2 linked regions of the Anolis sagrei genome follow. The protein of the gene in region 1 purifies or fractionates together with the protein of each later gene. This does not show direct contact. Links are inferred from orthologs where the notes say so. Each region holds a gene or a part of one and is shown on either strand. Other genes may lie near its edges.

Evidence for each region. Proteins that work in one complex are often made in the same cells at the same time.
Region 2: the proteins of ARFGEF3 (region 1) and PHB2 purify together in Homo sapiens (affinity purification with western blotting; 4 studies listed by BioGRID). This does not show direct contact. The link is inferred for Anolis sagrei from reciprocal best matches to the Homo sapiens genes ARFGEF3 and PHB2.

The regions. Positions count from the first base shown.
Region 1 is NC_090021.1:79,095,966-79,103,445, reverse strand, and holds the start of ARFGEF3 (brefeldin A-inhibited guanine nucleotide-exchange protein 3), read left to right. Parts: upstream 1-4,434; 5' UTR 4,435-4,572; coding exon 4,573-4,657; intron 4,658-7,480. UniProt on the Homo sapiens protein: Participates in the regulation of systemic glucose homeostasis, where it negatively regulates insulin granule biogenesis in pancreatic islet beta cells. Also regulates glucagon granule production in pancreatic alpha cells.
Region 2 is NC_090022.1:198,282,365-198,289,344, reverse strand, and holds the start of PHB2 (prohibitin-2), read left to right. Parts: upstream 1-3,883; 5' UTR 3,884-3,973; intron 3,974-6,980. Other genes in the region: EMG1 (ribosomal RNA small subunit methyltransferase NEP1), read right to left, coding at 1,238-1,379, 3,093-3,194, 3,578-3,700.

The DNA of each region.
Region 1 (7,480 bases):
CACAGCTGACCTCCAGCTGGAGCGGTCAAGGGCCAGGGCTTCCCAGTTCTCACAGTCTATGCCAGAGTTTTTAAGGTTGGCTTTGAGCCCATCTTTAAATCTTTTTTCCTGTCCTCCAACATTCCGTTTTCCGTTCTTAAGTTCGGAGTAGAGCAACTGCTTTGGGAGACGGTGGTCGGGCATCCGGACAACATGGCCGGTCCAGCGGAGTTGGTGGCGGAGGACCATCGCTTCAATGCTGGTGGTCTTTGCTTGTTCCAGCACGCTGACGTTTGTCCGCTTGTCTTCCCAAGAGATTTGCAGGATTTTCCGGAGGCAGCGCTGATGGAATCATTCCAGGAGTTGCATGTGACGTCTGTAGACAGCCCACGTCTCACAGGTATAGAGCAGGGTTGGGAGGACAATAGCTTTATAAACAAGCACCTTGGTATCCCTACAGATGTCCCAGTCCTCAAACACTCTCTGCTTCATTCGGAAAAATGCTGCGCTTGCAGAGCTCAGGCGGTGTTGTATTTCGGTGTCGATGTTGACTTTGGTGGAGAGGTGGCTGCCAAGGTAGTGGAAATGATCAACATTTTCTAATGTTACACCATTAAGCTGTATCACTGGCATTGGTGAGGGGTTGGCTGGTGCCTGCTGGAAAAGCACCTTGGTTTTTTCAATGTTCAATGACAAGCCTAGCTTCTCATATGCTTCTGCAAAGGTGTTTAGAGTGGCTTGTAGATCTTCTTCTGAATGCACACAGACGACGTTGTCATCAGCATACTGGAGTTCTATAACAGATGTTGTTGTAACCTTGGTTTTGGCTTTCAGTCTGCTGAGGTTGAATAGCTTGCCATCTGTCCGATAGATGATTTCCACTCCGGTGGGAAGTTTCTCATCAACAAGGTGAAGTATCATAGTGATGAAGATGGAGAATAGAGTTGGGGCAATAACACATCCCTGTTTGACACCCGATTCCACCTTAAATGGGTCACTTTGGGAGCCATTGCTGTTCAAAACTGTTGCCATCATGTCATCATGGAGGAGCCGCAGGATGTTCACAAATTTGTTTGGGCACCCGATTTTTTGGAGGATGGTCCAGAGAGCGCTGCGATTCACTGTGTCGAATGCCTTTGCAAGGTCGATGAATGCCATGTACAGAGGTTGATTTTGTTCTCTGCATTTTTCTTGGAGCTGTCGTGCAGTGAAGATCATGTCCACGGTTCCTCTGGAGGGGCGGAAGCCGTTCTGGGATTCTGGGAGGGTGTCTTCTGAGAGGGGCAGAAGGCAGTTTGCAAGGATTCTTGCAAGGATTTTCCCAGCGGAGGTTAGAAGGGAGATACCTCGATAGTTTCCGCAGTCTGTTCTTTCCCTTTTTTTGAAGAGGGTGATGATGGTGGCATCCTTGAAATCTGCTGGGATTTTCTCGGTCACCCACACTTTTTCTATGAGCTGGTGGAGTTGGTGTGTCAGCTCAGGTCCTCCCTCTTTAAAGATTTCAGCAGGGATCCCATCCAGTCCACTGGCTTTGTTATTCTTTTGTTGGCTGATGGCATTGCTGACTTCTTCCAGACTAGGCAGTGCTGCAAGCTCATCCCTAGTTTGTTGTTGCGGGATTTGTGAGAGGACCTCTTCGGCCACATCGGAGCCGCGGTTCAGGAGGCTTTGGTAGTGTACTTTCCAACATAGTGCAATTGAGTTTTGGTCTTTCAAGAGTTTGGTTCCATCTGATGAGCGTAGAGGCTGTATGCCATGGTTTCTTGGTCCATAGATGACCTTTGTGGCTTTGAAGAATCCCTGAGCATCATGGGTATCTGCCAGGTGTTGGATTTCTTCAGCCTTCTTTGTCCACCAGATGTTCTTGAGTTCTCTTGTCCTTCTTTGGACTTCAGCTTTTGCACTGGCGTAGATCTTTTTCTTAGCAGCACAGTCTCTCTGCCATGTTTGGAAGGCTTTCCTTTTCTTGTCAATTAGCTGTTGGATCTCGATGTCATTTTCGTCAAACCAATCTTGATGTTTCTTGGTTTGATATCCAATAGTTTCTTCGCAGGCTGTGATGATGGAGGTCTTCAGTTTGTTCCAGTGTTCCTCAACATTTTCGGGGTGTTCTGTGGGTAGATGGTTCTTGAGTGCTGTTTGGAGATGGGCTCGTCTGGAGGGCTCCTGAAGGGCTTGGGTGTTCATTTTGCGCCTTGTCTTTCTTCCTTGGAGCCTGCGCTTGGGGGCAATCTTGAGAGCCATCGTTGATCGGATTAGCCTGTGGTCAGTCCAGCAGTCGTCAGCACCTGTCATGGCTCTTGTGAGGAGCACCTCACGGCGGTCTCTGGCACGTGTGATTACATAGTCTAAGAGGTGCCAATGCTTTGACCGGGGGTGCTTCCATGATGTCTTGAACTTGTTTTTCTGGCGGAAGAGCGTGTTGGTGATGACAAGGTTGTGTTCCGCACATTTGGTGAGAAGCAGGATGCCGTTTGAGTTGCTGTTTTGTATATAGCCATTATGACATCCTATGGCAGGGATGATCAATAACCAAATCAAATCTAAAGTTGACCAAAATCCAATTTGTAACCCTTTTGGTGCTAATGTTGGAGAGTTGCCTCTGGTCCTAGTGGTCCCTGATCAAAAAAAGGTTGGGAACCACTGTTATATAGCCACCTGCTGATAGGTCATCAGCAAGGGACACTGGCTGATGCAATCCCTTTGCAGAAACCCTCACATAGTTATGACTCGGCCATTACCACACCCCTTAGGTATTGCATCATAACACTCACAGTCATTAGCCAGGTGCTATCAATATACTACATGTTCATAAAACAGTATTTTTCTCTATTATTAGAAATGCTTTGACGTTTCTATATAACACCATATATTGCAGAATAGTACTTTCCTTCATCTACAGGATGGAGCCACGCCAGCTAAATTGGGATTTTATTTATCGTATCAGGAGCAAACCAAACAGTTGTATTGTATTTAAAAACAAAAACAAAAAACCCACAAAGTTTGCAAACTTGGCATTCTATTAAATGTCCTTTGACCAGTAGCTGGCCACTTGGAGTGCCTCTGGTTTGTTATAAGAAGGTCCTCCATTGTGCATGTGGCAGGGCTCAGGCTGCATTGTAATAGGTTGTTTGTGGTTTGCTCTTCTCCACACTACAAAGTCCTGGACTCCACTTTGTAGCCCCATTTCTTAAGGTTGGCTCTGCATCTTATGGTGTCAAGAGTGCAGTCTGTTCAGCACTTCCAAGTTGCCCAGTTTTCTGTGTGCCCAGAAGGAAATCTCTCATTTGGTATCACCCATTGATTGAGGTTCTGGGTTTGAGCCTGCCACTTTTGGACTCTCGCTTGCTGAGGTGTTCCAGCGAGTGTCTCTGTAGATCTTAGAAAACTATTTCTTGATTTAAGTCGCTACCGTGCTGGCTGATACCCAAACAGGGGATGAGCCAGAGATGTCACTGCCTTGGTCCTTTCACTATTGGCTGCTACTCCCCGGTGGATGTCAGGTGGTGCAATACTGGCTAGACAGTGTAATTTCTCCAGTGCTGTAGGGCGCAGACACCCTGTGATAATGGGGCATGTCTCATTAAGAGCCACATCACTGTTTTAGTGTGGTGAGATAGATGTGTTCCACACTGGGCATGCATACTCAGCAGCAGAGTAGCATAGCGCAAGAGCAGATGTCTTCACTGTATCTGGTTGTGATCCCCAGGTTGTACCAGTCAGCTTTTGTATGATATTGTTTCTAGCGCCCACTTTTTGCTTGATGTTCAGGCAGTGCTTCTTGTAGGTCACAGCACGGTCCAGGGTAACTCCCAGGTATTTGGGTGTCCTGCAATGCTCCAGTGGGATTCTTTCCCAGGTAATCCTCGGAGCTTGAGATGCTTGTCTGTTCTTAAGATGAAATTGGGATCAAAATGTTATAATTGTGCAGTGTAGGTACACCCTTGTTCTCTAGCTTGCAGGGCTTATAAATGCCAGCCATGGACTCATGGTGTCCGAATCTCTAGCCAGCTGTTACAGGGTTTTTAATTTTCCCCCAGTTTAGATTGGATAGTAGAAGCTGCCAGAGGGAGCTCACCCGCGTTCTCCCCGGATTTGAACCTCCGACCTGTCGGTCTTCAGTCCTGCCGGCACAAGGGTTTAGCCCACTATCTGGGGCTCCCAGCCACCGGAGGCTCCTTCCCTCCCCTTGATGAGTAAACCCTATTGATCCAAGGGGTCTGCTCTATCTGGGGCTCCCAGCAAAAGCCAGGCCGGGCGCTGTGCCGCCTCCAAAGCGCCTCCCGGCGGCTCCACGCGTGGCTCCCCTTCCCTGTCGCCCGAGGGTTGGAGGGAGCGGCAGGTGCAGCCGAGGCGGCGAGAGGAGGAGCGATTGGCCCAAAGGCAGGCTCTCCAAGACCCGGCGTGGACGTCTGCGCGGAGGAGGCGGGGATTAAGAGAGAGAGGGGGGGATTGCCGCGCGTGACGTCTCCCGGGTCGTGGGCCGCTCCGCGTGATTCATCAACGCCGCCGATGCCGCGCGCTTGAAGCGGGGCTCCACGAAGGAGGAGGAGGAGGAGGAGGAGGAGGGATAGGGCAAGGCAGGTAGGCAAGATGGAAGGCACCCTGAAGAAGCTGCAGAAGGAAGCCTCGGGGAACAAGCACAAGGCCATCAAGGAGAGCTGCGCCTGGGCCACCGGTGAGGATGGCGGGGGGGGGGGCTTTGGGGGAGGGCAATAAGGGGCGGGCGGGCATGCTCCCCCCGTGGAGAAAGGCTAGACCTCCGAGAGAGGTGCCCCGGGGCCGTGGGGGGCTTTGCGGGGTCCTTTTCCCGCGGTGTCGCCTTCCTTTTCCCCCGTGGAAAGGCGCATCCTTGGAGGGACGCGCGCCCTGTTGTCTCGCTGTGTTGATGTTTGGTCTGGTTTGCCTTCCGCGGATGAGGGAGCTGTCAGGCGTCCTCCTTGCCTGGCCCTCTGCCTCTTGGCCTTCCGCCCGGACTGCCCACAAACCAACGGAGCAGCAAGCCCGCTTTTTGTTTTTCTCGCCTGGCTGCTGCTTCCAGGGTGGCTGGTTCCTGGAAAGCTCCTTCTTCTTCTTCCCCACGCAGGAGACCGGAGCCCAGATCCAACACCAGTTCTTCCCTTTCCTTCTGAGGCTGGATCTACACTTCATTGACATGATCTGCATTATGTGGATCTACATAGACTAGGCATGGGCAAACTTGGGCCCTCCAAGTGTTTTGGACTTCAACTCCCACCATTCCTAACAGCCTCAGGACCCTTTCTTTTCCCCCTCAGCCGCTTAAGCGAAAAGGGAAAAGGAAAGGGCCTGAGGCTGTTAGGAATGGTGGGAGTTGAAGTCCAAAACACTTGGAGGGCCCAAGTTTGCCCACAGCTGGACTAGACTGCTCCAAATTGCATTATACTCCCTGTAGACCCAGCTTTACTGTACTTTGCACTTCTCCCACTACACCATTATATTGATACCTATATAAATAATAATAATAATAAACTTTATTCATACCCCGCCACCATCTCCCCGAGGGGGACTTGGGGCGGCTAACATGAGGCCGAGCCCAAAGATACAATACAGCAAAATAAAATACAAAATGCAAACAACAAAAAGCAACAAATATTACATCACAATACAGTAGCAGAATAGAGTAAACAAAGCAAAATAAGATAATATAAAATTGAACACAATGGACAAGGTAAAATGATAAAACCCTGGATGAGGTAGTAGTAGGAAAAGTGCATTTGAGAGAAGCCCAAAGGGATGAACAGTGGAGTTAGGCTTTCAGTTTAGGACAGGGGAAAGTGCATCTTAGGGGAAACACTGTAGGTGGAACAAACAGAAATGGGGTGAATGGTCACTCTCCAAAGGCACATCAGAAGAGGTTGGTGGGGGGAGATGCGGTCACAAAGGTAGGCAGGTCCCAAACCGTTTAGGGCTTTATAGATGATAACCTGCACCTTGAATTGGGACCAGAAGATGAACGGCAGCCAATGGAGCTCCTTAAACAGGGGGATTGACTGCTCCCTGTAATTCGCCCCAGTTATTAATCTGGCTGCCGAATGTTGGACCAATTGGAGTTTCCGGGCCATCTTCAAGGGAAGCCCCACGTAGAGTGCATTGCAGTAGTCCAAACTAGACGCAACTAGTCTAAACTAGAGGCAACTATATCCCACTTTAACTACCATGGCAACATCCCGTGGTATTCCAGGGCTTGTCATTCTGTGACATCCAAGAATGCCTTAGCTAATAATTTGAAATGTCTTCCCTAAACTGAAAATGACAATATTCCTCAGCATTGCAGTTAGGGTGGAATATAGTTCTTCCATTGTTTGAGGACAGGGACATGCGTAGGGAGACCAAGGTGCTTGTTTATAAAGCCATTGTCCTCCCAACCCTGCTATACGCATGCGAAATGTGGACTGTCTACAGACGTCCTGGAATGATTCCAGCAACGTTGCCTTTGTAAAATCCTGCAAATCTCTTGGGAAGACAGGCGGACAAATATCAGCATGCTGGAAGAAGCAAAGACCACCAGCATTGAAGCAATGCTCCTACCTCATCAATTCCGCTGGACCAGCCACATTGTCCGAATGCTCGATCCCTGTCTCCCAAAGCAGTTCCTATACTCCCAACTCAAGAATAGAAAACTCACATTTGCAAAAGAGATTTAAAGATGGGCTTAAAAACTGTGGCATAAATGCCGAGAATTGAGAAGCCTTGCCCCTTGAGTGCTCTAACTGGAGGTCAGCTGTGACCAGCAGTGCTGCAAAATTTGAAGAGGCACTAATGGAGGGCAAAAGGGAGAAACATGCTATGAGGAAGGCACATCAAGCCAACCCTGACCGGGACCACCTTCCACCTGGAAACCGATGTCCTCACTGTGGGAGAACTTGCAGATCAAGAATAGGGTTCCACAGTCATCTACGGACCCACTACTAGGACCCTACACTTGGAGGACCATCATCCTTTGGCAATGAGGAATCACCTAAGTAAGTAAGTAAGGAATATGGTTCTATAAAGGGAGCCCACGGTGGTGCAGTTGGTTAAACTGCTGAGCTGCTGAACTTGCTGACCAAAAGGTCGGTGGTTAGAATCCAGGGAGTGGGCTGAGCTCTTGCTTGTAGGCCCAGCTTCTGCCAGCCTAGCAGTTCGAAAACATGCAAATTTGAATAGATCAATAGGTACTACTCTGGCAGGAAAGTAACGGCGTTCCATGCAGTCAAGGCAGCCACAGGACCTTGGAGGTGTCTGTGAACAATACCGCCTCTTTGGCTTAGAAATGGAGATGAGCACCACCACAACTAAACTTAATGTCAAGGAGAAACCTTTATTTTTACTACTTATAGTTCTATAAATATGCAGAGTGATCAGGATTGTGCATCCACACAGCATTTTCCAGCCGTTCAGATTTTCTCTCCCCCCAGTTGTATGAGATGTACCTTCTTTTCCTAACCAAAAGGAAGGGGCCTGAGGCTGTTAGGAATGGTGGGAGTTGAAGTCCAAAACA
Region 2 (6,980 bases), on another chromosome or scaffold:
AATCTTATCTTAGTTTCTAGTCTTAGGAGCTGCATAATCCTTTCTAACCAAATTGAGTTTATTTCTCATTGAAGGTGATCCTTTTGTCAAGTGTACTGCAAGAAATAACTTTTCTCTCCAGAATGAACCTTCACTGTGACATTATCATAATGTACAGGGTGAGGCAGCATAACTTCTTTTTTTAAAATGCGCGCTATTCAGTCGGTTGAAGACATAGCGCAGCGCTAGTGGTCTCATTCAAGAGGCGGGAATATAAAGTTTTGTCCTGACACAGTTCAGTCGCCATCATGCGTTGGAACAGTGAGGAGCGTGCTTTTGCCATTGAGGCCTACTTTTCCATCGGATTTGGAGTGGCCGGCCCACTCTCCAGATTTGACCCCTTGTGATTTTTTTCTATGGGTTTTTTGAAATCCCGTGTTTATGTGAACCGTCCAAGGACCCTACAATCCAGGAAGAAATTGCCAACATAATGCCTGCTATGCTGGCAAGCCATGACAAACGCCAGAAATCAGTTTACTCGGTGTATGGAGAATGGAGGACGTCACCTACCTAATTTAATCTTCAAAACTTTAGGTATGCGCTTACATTATAAAAAAAACCTAAAAATTTCTGATTCATACAATGGGTTTTATTAAGTTTTTAAAAAAGGAAGCTATGCTGCTTCACCCTGTATGAAGTACAGGATGATTCAAAAAGATGGACCTGAACTGAAATGGCTATATCTCTGCAATCACAAACTGCTCATGAATAAAAAAAACAAACTCTTACTCTTTGAAAGGGTGAGGCAGAGTTTCCAATTATTATTGCTAGATGCCGCCTCTCCTAATACACCAAGAGCCTTAAGTCATTTGCAAGAAGGCAACCCCTACAACATAAGGCTTAATGAGATATTCTTCATTTGCGGAGTTATCTTTTAAATTTGATTCTGGCTCAAAATGCTTAGTAAAACTTGATAACGCACTAAACTGTTTGTAAATTTTTGCGTAATTGTAATATGTTGCTATCATGAATTACACGGCTTTGAAACTGGATCCATCAATTTGAAACACTCTGTACTTTCCAGTGCCCTCTCAAGAAATTCAACTACCACTTCGAGGTTACTACAGATCCAGTAGCAGTGAAAAGTGATATGCAGCTACAAGAAAAAAAGGCCCGCAAACCTGGAATATTTAAACCTGAGGCCCTTCTCATTCAGAGCATTTGATTAGAGGAGAAATTATAGATTGCATTCTCTTACCCATCAGGCCACAGAAGCGATCAAACGTGCGAGGGATTCTTGTCTGTGGGTTAACTTCAATCAGAACATTCTTTTCTGTGTGGATATAAACCTGGAGAAGACCAGCTCGGTTCAAAGGACTATCCATGAGCATCAGGAGGCTCTGAGGGGAAGTGGGAAAGGCAAAGGATGTCATAAGAAGAATCAGGCTTGTTTTCTGCTGCCTTGAAAACTAGGATTCAGAGCAATGGGTTCAAATTACAGAAAAGGAGATCCCACTTGAACATTAGAAAGAACTTCCCGACTGTAAAAGCTGTTTATCAGCAGAACTCTTTGCCTCGGAGTACAGTGGAGGGTCCTTCCATGGAGGCTTTTAAACAGAGTCTGGATGGCTATCTGTTGGGGGTACTTTGTGCTTTTCCTGCATGGCAGAATGGGGTTGGACTAGAAACTTCCCACTGGGCACACAGAAGACTTGGAAGGCACAGAAGAGACTGTGCTCTGGGACCATCAGATGCAGGGCCAATCTTAAGAAATGGGGCCTCAAAGTGGAGTCCACAACATGTGAGTGTGAAAAAGAGCAAACCACAAACCACTTACAACATTGCAGTCTAAACCCTGCCACATGCACAATGGAGTGTCTTCTCCCAGGGACACCAGAGGCACTCCAAGTGGCCAGCTATTGGTCAAAGAACGTTTAATATACAAGGGTTGAAGGAAAAGTAATGCCTCCAGCTTTGTTTCTTGGGCTTGGATGGAAATGTTTTAATAAATCAAACGCAGAAATAATCCTTAGAATGTGCTCTTTAACTACCACTATTCACTTTCTGAAGACGTCACGGAAGAAGTTGACACTCTGTTTCTGCAACCAGCATCTCACAGTTCTCTCAATGTTTCCATCAGAAGCATAATGATGTCCCCACAGATCTTCTTTTATTATCGGAAACAGATGGAAGTCAGACGGTGCTAAATCTGGACTGTATGGAGGATGTCGTATGATGGTGAGATCCAGTCTCTGAAGTTTCAAGTCTGTGCACTTTCATTTCAGGCATCAGCATCCTGGTTACCCATTGTGCACAGAACTTCCGATAGCCAAGCAAAGAAATAATGTGACCCACATGTTCTTGTGAAATGCCAATTGTGCTTGAAATTTATCTCTGAGTGATATGAGGATTGTCCTGAATCAATCTGTCAACCTTTTGCTTATGAAACTTGGTGATTGCTGTAACAAGACGTCCAACTCTTTGTTTGTCACGCAAGTCAGATTTCCCACCTCAACATCTTTAAACTTACTTGGCCAATGACACACAGTACTAACATCAACACAATCACCATAAACAGCTTGCATTCTCAGATTAATCTCGTTTGGGGTGACCCCTTCTGCTGTCAAGAACTCAATGACTGCACGTTGCTTAAGTAACATTGATCGACAGTGTGCGCAGAGTTCCATACTTTGCACTTTCACAACTGTTCATTGCTAAGGCTTCCCGCCAAAATGGAACTGCAGAGGAGTCTACTGAACAAGCCAGTACCTGCTGCATACCAGTACTGTTGAGGAGTTACGAAGGTGGAGACATTTTTCATTCAACCCTCGTGATGCCAAGTTTTTAACGTCATGTTTTCTAAAATACATTATAACGGTAACAATAATACTAAAACTTTATTTATATTCTGCTCTATCTCCCCGAAGGGACTCAGAGTGTCCCTCAATTTGCTTCTGACACAATAAATACATAACAAAAAAATAAAATGTTGATGACAATTTGTTTGAAACAGAACTGACAACACCATTTGAATGGCATTTTCACAAAAGGACAACCAATATTCCAAATAAGAGCGAACAGCATATAGCAAACTATGCTTTACAAGGAATTACCTGGTGTGTGATGTCCGGTCGAACCACTCCAGGGTCCCGGCCGCTTCGCAGGAGCAATGATTTATGCTTGTCGCAGTTCAACAGCTCATACGTTTTCCCAACCTGGAAGTGTATTTTCAAATTATTTGAAAATTCTACTTTTTCTTCACAGAGATTACAATAAATGCAGCGTAGATCAGGCGTGGGCTAGCTTGGGCCCTGCAGGTGTTTTGGACTTCAACTCCCACCATTCCTAACAGCCTCAGGCCCCTTCCTTTTCCCCCTCAGCCGCGGCTGAGGGGGAAAAGGAAGGGGCCTGAGGCTGTTAGGAATGGTGGGAGTTGAAGTCCAAAACACCTGCAGGACCCAGGCTAGCCCAAAACAGGGCCTAAGTTTCCCCTTGCCTGGAGGGCCTAAGTTTCCCCTTGCCTGTAGGCGCACTTCCCCAAAGACTGAGCCCAAACCACAGTCCCTGAAATGTTGATCCCTTCTGCTGCCTTCCAGACCTTCACTGTCTCCAGGGAGGCCCCTTCCAGGATGACCAGGAGCCGCCTCCTCCCCGCGCGCTGCGGATCCGGCCCCGCATTCCTGTCTCCACTCAGGCGCTTCCTCGATGAGTCCTCCGCCATCTTCGGCACGCTCGCTGGTTGCCCGGCTGCCTCAACTTCCGGTCTTTGACCTCCCACTTCCGCTCAACATCCTTCCCGTGCTCAGCTGACTCCTTTCACTCGTTTATTCTGAAGGAATTTAATCAGGAACCGGAAGTACAGGGCAGAGGCGAGAACTTCCGAGGCGCGTGCTACCCGAAGGGGGTTTCGTCACATCCGGTGTCCTTCTCCCTTCAGAGCGACGGCGTGGTGAGCAGCGCGAGCCAAAGGGCGCAAGCAAGCAAGCAAAAGGTGGTGAGTGGAGCTCAGTCTCTCTGCAAAGTTTAGCTCAGTCGGGGTTTGGAATGTATTTTGGTAAAAAGGTAAAGGTGTTCCCCTGATATTAAGTCTTGTCGCGTCCAACTCTGGGGGGTTGGTGCTCATCTCCATTTCTAAGCCGAAGAGCCGGCGTTGCCCGTAGACACCTCCAAGGTCATGTGGCCGGCATGACTGCATATCGCGCCGTTACCTTCCCGGAGCGGTACCTATTGATCTCACATTTGCATGTGTTAGAACTGCTAGGTTGGCAGGAATTGCGGCTGACAGCGGGAGGTCACGCCACTTCCCAGATTCATAAAATTATAGAGTTGGAAGAGACCTCATGGGCCACCCAGTCCAGCCCCCTGCAAAGAAGCAGGAATATTGCATTCAAAGCACCCCCAACAGATGGCCGTCCAGCCTCTGTTTAAAAGCTTCCAAAAAAAGGAGCCTCTAGCACACTCCGGGGCAGAGAGTTCCACTGCTGAACAGCTCTCGCAGTCAGGAAGTTCTTCCCAATGTTCAGATGGAATCTCCTTTCTTGTAGTTTGAAGCCATTTGTCCACATCCTAGTCTCTAGGGCAGCAGAAAACAAGCTTGCTCCCTCCTCCCTGTGACTTCCCCTCACATATTTATACATGGCTATCATGTCTCCTCTCAGCCTTCCCTTCTGCAGGCTAAACATGCCCAGCTCTCTAAGCCGCTCCTCATGGGGCTTGTTCTCCAGACCCTTCATCATTTAGGTTGCCCTATTGAACTAGAGTGGAAAAATATCCAAATTTCCCTTTGATTGTGAAGCTCGGACTAGTTTATAAAAAACTGCATTGCTGTAGTGTGCCTCCAAATCATTTGCATTCAAAGCACCTCCAACAGATGGCCATCCAGCGTCTGTTTAAAAGCCTCCAAAGAAGAAGCCTCTACCACACTCCAGGACAGAGAGTTCCACTGCTGAACAGCTCTCACACTCAGGAAGTTTTTCCTAATGTTCAAATGGAACCTCCTTTCTTGTAGTTTGAAGCCATTTGTCCACATCCTAGTCTCCAGGGCAGCAGAAAACAAGCTTGCTCCCTCCTCCCTATCACTTTCTCTCACATACTTATACATGGCCCTCATCATGTCTTCTCTCAGCCTTCTCTTCTTCAGGCTAAACATGCCCAGCTCTTTAAGCCACTCCTCATAGGGCTTGTTCTCCAGACCCTTGATCATTTTAGTCAGCCTCCTCAGGACACATTCCAACCTGTCAATATATCTCTTCAGTTGTGGTGCCCAGAATTGGACACAAAAATGTTGGTCAGCAAGTTCAGCAGCTCAGCGGTTTAACCCACTGCGCCAAAAAAAACCCCAAAACAACAGCGCTGTGCGTCTTTGGCCCCATTGTTCTTTAAAAGTTGCCAGATCGGTATTATTACAGTGTGTAACAAAATTAGAGGGGGGAAATCCTGTTCCTGATTTGAAACTTTTGTTTCATGTTGCAGTCCTTAATTTGAAAGTTGTTGTTGTATTCCAGACACTTCGTTTTGGTGGCTGCCATTTTGAACTTTTCCTATGCCGTTTTGAACCATGGCTGCAGGCCGTAAAAACAAAGTTTGTGCAGCTTAATAAATCTTTCCCCATATTTTTGTGAAAGTGAAGAGACATAGGTTGGAATAGTTAAAATCAGTGCTATTTGTTTTTGCTTGACAAATATTCAACACACTTGCTAATAACTACTTAATTACTTAACAAATGTATGTGTATTTAATTCAGCAATTGCATATGTATTAACCACTTCTTGATTTGCCAAACAACACTGTGTGTATTGCTAATTGCCTAACAATTTTTTTAAAAAGCATGACCTTTAAGGGATCATAACCTCTTAGAAAATAATATTTATAACATTTTATAGAAGAGTCAAAAACCTGTTTGAATAGAATCTTCTCAAGCGGTATACATCCAAATGTAATCATTCAAGGCAATTGACTTCAGTTGTTAGGCTGAAGCAACCTGTTATCTCTGATCTGTTAGGAAACAGAGAATAGGCCATTGCATAAATAGCAGTTCTTCAGAAGTGTTTTTCAGTGCCCAAAAATATATCTACTCTCCCATAAAACAGCATGTTTTATAATATGCATTCAAGAGTAGAATTTGGTAAAAAAATAACATATTTGGTTTACTCACAACCTTAATGTGTTCAAGGTCATAATAATAACAACAACAATATAAAACTTGCTGCCTTCCAGCAAGTTTTATATTCCAGTCTCTCCCCAAAGGGACTCAGGGCAGTTTGCACACAAAAGAGGAAAACATTCAATGCCCAAACATGTGCAAATACATCAAAGTAATATGACATAATACAAAATAATAACAACAGTGAACTAATCAATACAAAACTTATCTGTGCCATCCGATCAGAGTATCTCTCTTAGAATAAACAGCAAGGCAAGTGTTTGCAATTCTGCGATCTGAGCAGTCCCAAAGTCTAAAGAAGTCCGTGCTCTGCTCGTTCCAGAGCAGATCATGTGGTGTGCAGCCCCTCCCACAACTTCTCACAAAAACAGAACAAGGAAAGAAAGCTTCATACCAAAACATACATACAATAAGTAAGCAACAGGATTATAGATTTTAAAAAATACTAGAAGAGGCTTGAAGAAGGTTGTAATTTCTAACACAAATTGGTATTGATTGCTGCTGTGCCTCGCCCTGAAAGTTAGTTTTATCTGGCTCTAACAGCCTCCAAGTTTGACCCCGCAAAGAATTTAATGAGCTGTTTTTCTGGGCATGGGTGAGGTAATGAGAATGGAGGTCTGGTCAACACAGCAAGATCATAAATCCTCTCTTGGAAGGTAAGAAATGTAGGAGATGAATTAGTTTAGCACTGATTCAATGAGCCTGAAGTATGCATGTGCTCACAATATACATTGATGAGCTAATGTGCTTATATATATATATATATATATATATCACACACACACACACATATACGAACATGTACACATACATAGAGAGCCCACTGCCAATGTTGCTG